Neurospora crassa OR74A: one gene and its partner. The protein of the gene in region 1 purifies or fractionates together with the protein of each later gene. This does not show direct contact. Links are inferred from orthologs where the notes say so. Each region holds a gene or a part of one and is shown on either strand. Other genes may lie near its edges.

Region 1 (4,242 bases):
TGACACGCTCGTAGCTAAGCTCCTCGAAGTAAAGCTTATCAGCGGTATCGAAATCGGTCGAGTAGGTCTCGGGGTTGTAGTTAATCATGACAGTCTTCTCGCCCATAGCCCTCAGGGCCTGAGTGGCGCTGACAGCGCACCAATCGAACTCGACCGAGGAACCGATACGGTAGACACCGCTGCCGAGAATGACAGTACCCTTGTCCTCGAAGGTGACGTCGTGGGAAGAGGCGTTGTAAGTGGTGTAGAGGTAGTTGGTGTCGGCAGGGAACTCGGCGGCCAGAGTATCAATCTTCTTAACCCAGGGCCTAATACCGAACCCCTTTCTGGCAGCGCGGACAAGATCCTCGGTGCTGTTGACGGCCATGGCGATCTGCTTATCGGAGAAACCGAGCTTCTTGGCCTTGAGGATGTGCTCCTTCTTGAGGGCCTCGAGGCTGCCAAGCTGTTGCATCTCCTTCTGGCAGTCGACGATGTTCTGGAGCTTGTAGAGGAACCACTTGTCGATCTTGGAGAGCTCGTGGACCCTGTCAACGGAGTAGTTCTCATGGAGCATGGCCTGACCGACAGCCAACCAACGGCGGTCAGTAGGGTTCTGGAGCTCGAAATCGAGATCCTCGAACTTGTCACCCTGGAAACCGACGAAGCGGGGGTCAACCTGGCGGATAGCCTTCTGGAAAGACTCCTCGAAGGTACGGCCGATAGCCATAACTTCACCAACTGACTTCATGGCAGAGCCGATATCGCGCTTAACGTGCTGGAACTTGGACAGATCCCACCTGGGAATCTTGGTAACGATGTAGTCAAGAGAAGGCTCGAAGTTGGCGGTGGTGGTCTTGGTGACAGCGTTGGGGAGCTCGGGAAGGCTGTGGCCGAGACCGATCTTGGCGGCAGTGTAAGCCAGGGGGTAGCCGGTAGCCTTGGAGGCGAGGGCAGACGAGCGGGAGAGACGGGCGTTGACCTCAATGACACGGTAGTCCAAGCCATCGGGCTGAAGAGCGTACTGGACGTTGCATTCACCAACGACGCCCAAGTGACGGACGATCTTGATGGCAGCGGAACGGAGCATGTGATACTCCTCGTCGCTGAGGGTCTGGGAAGGAGCAACAACGATAGAGTCACCAGTGTGGATACCGAGAGGGTCGAAGTTCTCCATATTGCACACAGTAATGCAGTTGTTGTTGGCATCACGAACGACCTCGTACTCAACTTCCTTCCAGCCCTTGAGAGACTTCTCGACCAAGATCTGGGGGGAGAGGGTGAGGGAGCGAGCAGCCATGTTGCGGAGCTCCTCCTCGTTGTTGGCGAAACCGGAACCGAGACCACCAAGGGCGTAGGCAGCGCGGACGATGATAGGGTAGCCAATCTTGTTGGCAGCGTCGAGGGCCTCGTCGACGGTGTTCACAGCGAAGGACTTGGCAATGGGGATGTTGATCTCCTCAAGGGCCTTGGCGAAGAGATCTCTGTCCTCAGAAAGCTCCAGTGTCCTGACACTGGTACCGAGAACCTTGACACCGTACTTCTCGAAGAGGCCAAGCTTCTGCATCTGGACACCCAAGTTGAGAGCGGTCTGACCACCGAAGGACAGGAAGATACCATCGGGCTTCTCCCTCTGGATGACATACTCGACATACTCGGGGGTGACGGGGAGGTAGTAGACCTCATCGGCGAGGGAATGGTTGGTCTGGATGGTAGCGATGTTGGGGTTGATCAACACGGAAGCAACGCCGGCCTCCTTAAGGGCCTTGAGCGCCTGAGAACCTGGATGGGTAGAGTAGAGTCAGCACTGCTGTTTGTTTGTTTATTTGTTTGTTTGTTTTGTGTCTGGTTTCACTGAGTCGACAAGACATTAGACGTACCGGAGTAGTCAAACTCGCCGGCCTGGCCAATGGCAAGACCACCGGAGCCGATGACAAGCACCTTCTTGACGTCGACATGGTCGCGGGGCTTGACAACGCCGCTCTGGATATAAGCCTTCGCGTCGGGGGCGGGCTGGCTGGCAGCAGCCGCGGCAGCGGAGGCAGAGAGCCACCTCTTCTGGGAGGACAGCCTCTGGGCGGCGTTGGCCTGTGTCTGGAAGATGGAGGTATTCTGGGCGCCGGAGGTGAGAGCCCTCAATTGGGACGCCTGGACGGGAACCCGCCGACCATGGCGGAGGAGAGCAGGAGCTCGGCCAGCCTTGTGCACGGTCGACAGCATTATGTCCAATGGAGGGAGGTGTTTGTGGAAGAAAATTAAAGAAAGACCAAGAAAGGCCTCGTGAGGGTCTCGGGGGGCCGATGTCTTGTATATCAACAAACAAGTCCTGACAACGACGTAGCTGTTGACCCCGGATCCTGACCAGTTGACTCAATCTCGAGTCTCCCGTCCGTGTTTTCGGAATTTCGCGCTTTTAATTTCAGTGGAGAAGAAACTGGAGAAGTTGGACGGAAAGAGGGACAAGAGAGACAAATAATTCCCAAAACCGGCCGCTGTGGGGAGCGCCGATAAGAGATGTGCGGGGCCGGCGGCAGGGTGGGTTCCAGATTTGTTGGTGGGCGGCTGTGACTCTTTTGCTCTTTCACCAAACAGAACAATCGACGATGAGGCCCTGAATGGAGTCGCTCTTCTGCGCATCCGCCACCCTTTGCCGGGGGCAATGGCGGGCACTGGCGGGTTGGGAACAAGTGACGACGGATTGTTGGAAAATTTTCAAGATAGGCCGCGGGCCAGCTTGGGTAGCTTCCGACAACGGAAGCGGACCCGGAATCCTCTGCGGTCGAGAAGTGCGGGACCTGACTGGCATATGTACATGGATCTGCGATGCTCGCATGGGCAGTCATCGCATCTTGCCAGATCCCCCTCCCATTCTTATCCGATTTTAAGCTCACCTACTGGCGATCCTAGATCAGTGTCTTGTGGCAGACTTGAGACTTTCTCGTTACCTAGCCACTTTGCCTGCCAAAATAACAACATGTCGGGCGCGGTCTATCTAACAACATCACTACTATTCCCCAGGCTCTATGTGTCATCTGAAGTCGGTTGAGCGTTTGTCCGATGTTCGCTCATGCACGCCATGGCCCCAAAACAGGCACAAGCTCCCGGGACGGCACTGGAGACGGCTAGTACCGAGTCAATGGTTAGTAGGTACCCACGACCTCCAACCTCCGAGTTTGGTTTGTCTTTTGGACGCCCAAACCCCGCCAAATTTTTGACTACTATGTACCTTGGCGGTGAAACTGGCTGAATTGGCCGTAACTGACATGTTATTGGCCAATTGCCCTTCGAGCTGCGACTTTTTGGCGGGGAGAGGAAATTCACGCGTTTCATGATTGGCTGAGTCATCGCGGCCCCAGTCTATTCGGCGATAGTTGACGCCTCGATGCCGGTCTTGTTGGTGATCTTCAAAATCAATCTCTCGCTTTTGACGTGTCCATGCGGCTGAGTCAATTCGAAGCGCCTCGCCGATGCTGACCTCTTGACATTTTCTCCTCGGCCAGCTCCCGAAAGAGCTCAAATCCGCCTGCTCCCGAAAGAGCTCAGATCCTTCGCTGTATTCCCAATGCCAGTAAAGCCGCCTGCGACTTTGACTCATGGACCGGGTTTCGACGGCTGTAGCACTGGAACCTTACTACACTAATATCAGCTCTGCTAGCTCACAAGTCAAATTACTCACCCCATCCTATGATCTCACAGTACTTCGGGGGCCTATGGTGTACTACTAGTATTCCAGAATCCGCAAGCTTATTCCTTCTTCACTCACGCCGTGAATGAACATGGGGGATGGGCGCACATGGAGTTTGGAAGTGTGGTTCCTGGCAGACCCTTGAGCTTCCACTTGTGTAAGTCGAGACCTCTCATTGGAAGAACACTATGTACTGTCCATCCTGAGCTGTGACTCAGATACAAAACTGGACATCGACTGCGAATGTCCATCTCCAAACCAAATTTCACATTCCCCTTTCTGGAGACACCCATGATGTCAAGTCTGTCACCCCAAGCGCCCAGGCCGGGGCTCTGATGGAGCGGGGGTAACCCCCACTCAGGTTCACGGTTGCACCATGGGAGTCCAGGCCCGTCCTCCTCCGCCCGCGGCTTCCGGGCTCAAGTGCGTGGATTCCGGCGAACGAAAGCCACGGCACCGGCCCAAGCCCGGCCGACAGCGGGGACCGGAACTCAGCCAGCTGGTCGGTCTTGGCATGCCAATGAGCACAGGCCGCTGCGTGCATCCCCTCCAACCCTCCCCTTCGCTGTTGTGGTCCC
Region 2 (3,980 bases), on another chromosome or scaffold:
AGCATTAGTATAAAAGCATTCCACTTGTTCGTATATGATTTTGGAGTCGTATCCGACGAAGAATAACTACTTTCTGTTCTAAGATACCTGCCATCTACTAAGACGACGCTGATTTGTTTGATAATAGTTTGAAATCAAGACCAGGGAAAACCAGGTGTCACAGAACCAGAGGCTGCCCTGCTTACCAGTCAATGACACCATGTTCCCCGGCAACCAGTGCTTATACAGCACGCTGTCAACATAACCCCTGAATGTTGAAGGGCACCGAATTAGGGGAGGTACTGGACTGGAAGACATACGGCAATCACCAGGAATGGGTAAAATACAACGACTGGAAGACGTTTAGACGTGATAGCACATGGGTATGTATCAACTAGATATTGTCCTCTCTGCGCCATATCAGCCTAATGCCGACTAAACTTATCTGATTCTGCATTCAAAAGTAGTAACAAAAGATATCATATACACCCTAAACCATTAATAACGAGAGGACGTCGCCCAAGAAAGTCCCTTTTACAAAACCCATATCCTTTGTGCTGGAAAACAATAACCCAAGACCAATGACAAACACCGTTCACTAAGAAAATGCAAAGACATTCTCGTCGCTTAAGCAGCGTTAGAAAGAGGAGTGGGCTCAACGCCGACACGCTCCTTGCTGAGAATGTCAATCATGAACTGAGTAGGCCTGTTGTCACGGTAGACCTGGGAGTTGCTCTTGAAAAGCTCGACATTCTCCATGTACTTGTCAAAGAGGTAGGAAGAGTCCATGGGACCACCCTTAGCCTCGGGGTGGAACTGGGTAGAGAAGATGGGGCGGGTCTTGTGCATCATACCCTCGTTGGAGCCGTCGTTAAGGTTGACGAAATACTCCTTGAAGTCGCTAGGGAGGGTGCTGATATCGACGGCGTAACCGTGGTTCTGCGAGGTGATGTGGCACTGACCAGTGGTCAAGTCAAGAGCCGGGATGTTGTGGGCACGGTTACCATACTTGAGCTTGATGGTCTTGGCACCAACAGCGAGAGCAAGAAGCTGGTGACCAAGGCAGATACCCATGATGGGAATAGGGGAAGTCTCCATAAGCTTGGCGAGGTTGTAAACAGTCTCCTGGCAGTGGGTGGGATCACCAGGGCCGTTGGAAATGAAGACACCATCGAAGTTCTCGGCAACCTTGTGGATGGGGTAATTGTAGGGGAAGACGGTGACGGAGGCGCCACGGCTGACCAAGCTACGAAGGATGTTCTCCTTGACACCGCAGTCGATCAGAGCGACGTGGAACTTGGCGTTGGGGTTGGTAACCACAAAGGGAGCCTTGGTGGACACGCGCTTGACAAGGTTGATCTGGCCAGGGTCAATGAAGCCCTCATCCTCATCGGCGTCGTACTCGTCGCCAATGGAGATCCTGGCGAGAGAGGAACCCTGCTCACGGAGGTAGGTGACAATCGCACGAGTGTCAACACCGGAGATGGCGGGAATGCCCTCGCTGGCGCACCACTCGCCCAAGCTCTGAACAGCAGTCCAGTGGCTGTACTGGGTAGCGACATCGGAGACAACGATACCGGCGCACTGGATGTGGGGAGACTCGAAGTACTTGAGGAGGTTGAACTCGTCACGCTCATTCGAAGGGACACCGTAGTTGCCAATCAAGGGCTGGGTGAAGACCAAAATCTGGCCGCGGTACGAGGGATCGGTCATCGACTCGGGGTAACCAACAAGGGAGGTGGTGAAAACGGCTTCACCAGAAATGTTGGTGTTGGCACCGAAGGCGGTACCCTGGAAAACGGGGCCATCCTGAGCGAGAAAATGTTAGGTTTAGCCACGAGAGAAGACTAGTTGTAGGTACGCACCCTGATAGTGAAGGTGGCCTCGGCGCCGGTGGCAGCGGCAGTAGTGCGCGGCTCACGGGCGGGCATGTTCCTGCCCTTGCTGCCGGTAATGGCGGGCTGGCTCAGGTTGCGAACCTGACGGGCGGCGACGCCATTGAGGGCAGAAGCCTTGGGGAGACGAGCGGCCAAGCGAGAGAACATCTTGACTTGAATGGTGATGGGGTGCGGTGGTGATTGGTACGGCTGCTGGGTGATGAGAGGCTCTTATGCGTTAAGGGCTCTCCACAGATGGTCTGTAACACACAAAATTCATCGTCAGTATTCCAGCCGGAAAAGGGTGAGTCAACGGGAGTCGGCGGGGATGCGGACCTGAGAGGTAATCCTACAAAGGCAACAGAATTAGTTTTGATCAGACACTACAAACAGACGGCAAGCGGCAGAAGCGAGGAGAAGAAGTCTCCCCCAGGATGGCTGTCTGCGCGATCTTGAGAGATATGCAATCGGAATCCGTGAAGAGCTGAACTTTGGGGATCACCGCTGGCCACATCTCCCAAAACCAACTCAGAGCGGCATGATGCCAAGCACCCAGGTTGGTGGGTTACTGGCGGGTCGTCCCAACTACTCCGATACAGCATCGCGAGTCAGGCTGGTATGGGGGCTTCATTGCTCATCCGGGGGAACTTCTTTGATGGACTGGGTGGATGGTGGCTGGATACCAGCACGATGGAGGGGCTATCGCGTTATCGTACCTGAGAGGTGAAGACTGACGGGCGCCCGTTCATAAGGGCAGATTGCGACAAGACAAGTTCAGCTGAAGAAAGAAGGTTGGACGAAAGAGTCCGAAAGTCGGGGGAAGCGATTGGGGTTATTGTGTGTTTTGTAGATGGGCAAGAGTTGATGACGGAGTGAGTTGTAGTGTCGAGGGGAGAAACTTGGAGATAAAAGAGGGTGCGAAAGTGGGTGAGGCAAATAGAAAAAGGGCGACATTTGATTGGATCTGGTAGAATTTTTTGAGCTCTTTGTCTTTTTTCTGCCGCAGTGACAGGGTCAGCGCCGACCTGATTGGTCCAGGACTCGGTGACTCCCGCTGCTAGCGAGTCCCAAAGGCCGATTTACGGGGACCGAGGGGTGATTGATCGCGGCGTTGGGATGACTGGGGACCTGGACTTCGTTGGGACGCTGCAAGTTCCACATGCCCTTTGACCATCACGGTTACCACCCCTACTAGTCCCGGAGCCTCACAACTGGAATCACCCATCCGGTGTTCAACATACCTACTATGTACTACGTACACTACACATCGCAACCTATGCCCACAACCCCAGCCACGACATTCACAAACAACGCGACTCCAGCTCGGCATCTCCTGCCCGGGGCACCCCCAACGAATCTCGGAGTTGGAGTGGTCGGGTCCCGCAAAGCCCCCGCAAAGTCCCCGCCTACCTACCGCCGCAGATAAAGATGGTGGATACCCCGCGCTTTCGGTGACTCAAGTTGCGGGGACTTGTACAGTCGCGATTCGCCTCGCTTTCAAGCTTCTGAAGCTCCAAACCCAGGTTGCGCCAGAGCCGGCCGTCGTAATCGGCTGCACGGACAACGGAGGCCGCACGCTGACAGAAGAGGGAACAATCAAATATAGCGTCTGGATCCAGCATATACTCTCGGCGACAGCACACCAATTGAAGAGAGACATCGTCACCACCTTGTCAAGCCACGTAAGTAGCATTTTTGCGGTAGTGGTACCTTACAGCAGCCGAGCACCAATACGTGGGGGATAACAGGCTCCCACACGTCACATTGCATTTGATACATCGCGTAGCATCTGGATGTTGGGCATTACCATTTCAGACGGATTCAGCTTACTCGACCGAGTACGCAATATCAAAGCAGAGACCACCAGGACACCTGGCGAGGTTTTCATCATTGAAAACCGCAAGACAGGACAAGACACAAAACATAGCTCTTCGTACTGTTGCGCTTAACGCGACACATCTTGCGACGAAGTTGGTGCCAATGTGGCCGGCTCAAGCCTCTTTCATCTCAACCGGCCAGCTTGTCGTAGAAGCATGCATGAATAAACTGAAGCTCCAGGCCCCGGGCCGTCACGGTCCCCATGAGACATTGTGACGCCCTTACCGGCTATCAGAAGAGCATGTC

Evidence for each region. Proteins that work in one complex are often made in the same cells at the same time.
Region 2: the proteins of arg-3 (region 1) and arg-2 purify together in Saccharomyces cerevisiae (affinity purification with mass spectrometry, with the first as the bait; 3 studies listed by BioGRID). This does not show direct contact. The link is inferred for Neurospora crassa OR74A from reciprocal best matches to the Saccharomyces cerevisiae genes CPA2 and CPA1.

What each region holds. Positions count from the first base shown.
Region 1 is NC_026501.1:3,168,795-3,173,036, reverse strand, and holds the start of arg-3 (carbamoyl-phosphate synthase large subunit), read right to left. Parts: upstream 2,803-4,242; 5' UTR 2,200-2,802; coding exon 1,860-2,199; intron 1,762-1,859; coding exon 1-1,761. UniProt on the Saccharomyces cerevisiae protein: Large subunit of the arginine-specific carbamoyl phosphate synthase (CPSase).
Region 2 is NC_026504.1:2,059,941-2,063,920, reverse strand, and holds arg-2 (carbamoyl-phosphate synthase small subunit), read right to left. Parts: upstream 2,804-3,980; 5' UTR 2,573-2,803; intron 2,206-2,572; 5' UTR 2,193-2,205; exon of another isoform or gene 2,117-2,192; 5' UTR 2,025-2,116; coding exon 1,845-2,024; intron 1,789-1,844; coding exon 607-1,788; 3' UTR 195-606; downstream 1-194. UniProt on the Saccharomyces cerevisiae protein: Small subunit of the arginine-specific carbamoyl phosphate synthase (CPSase).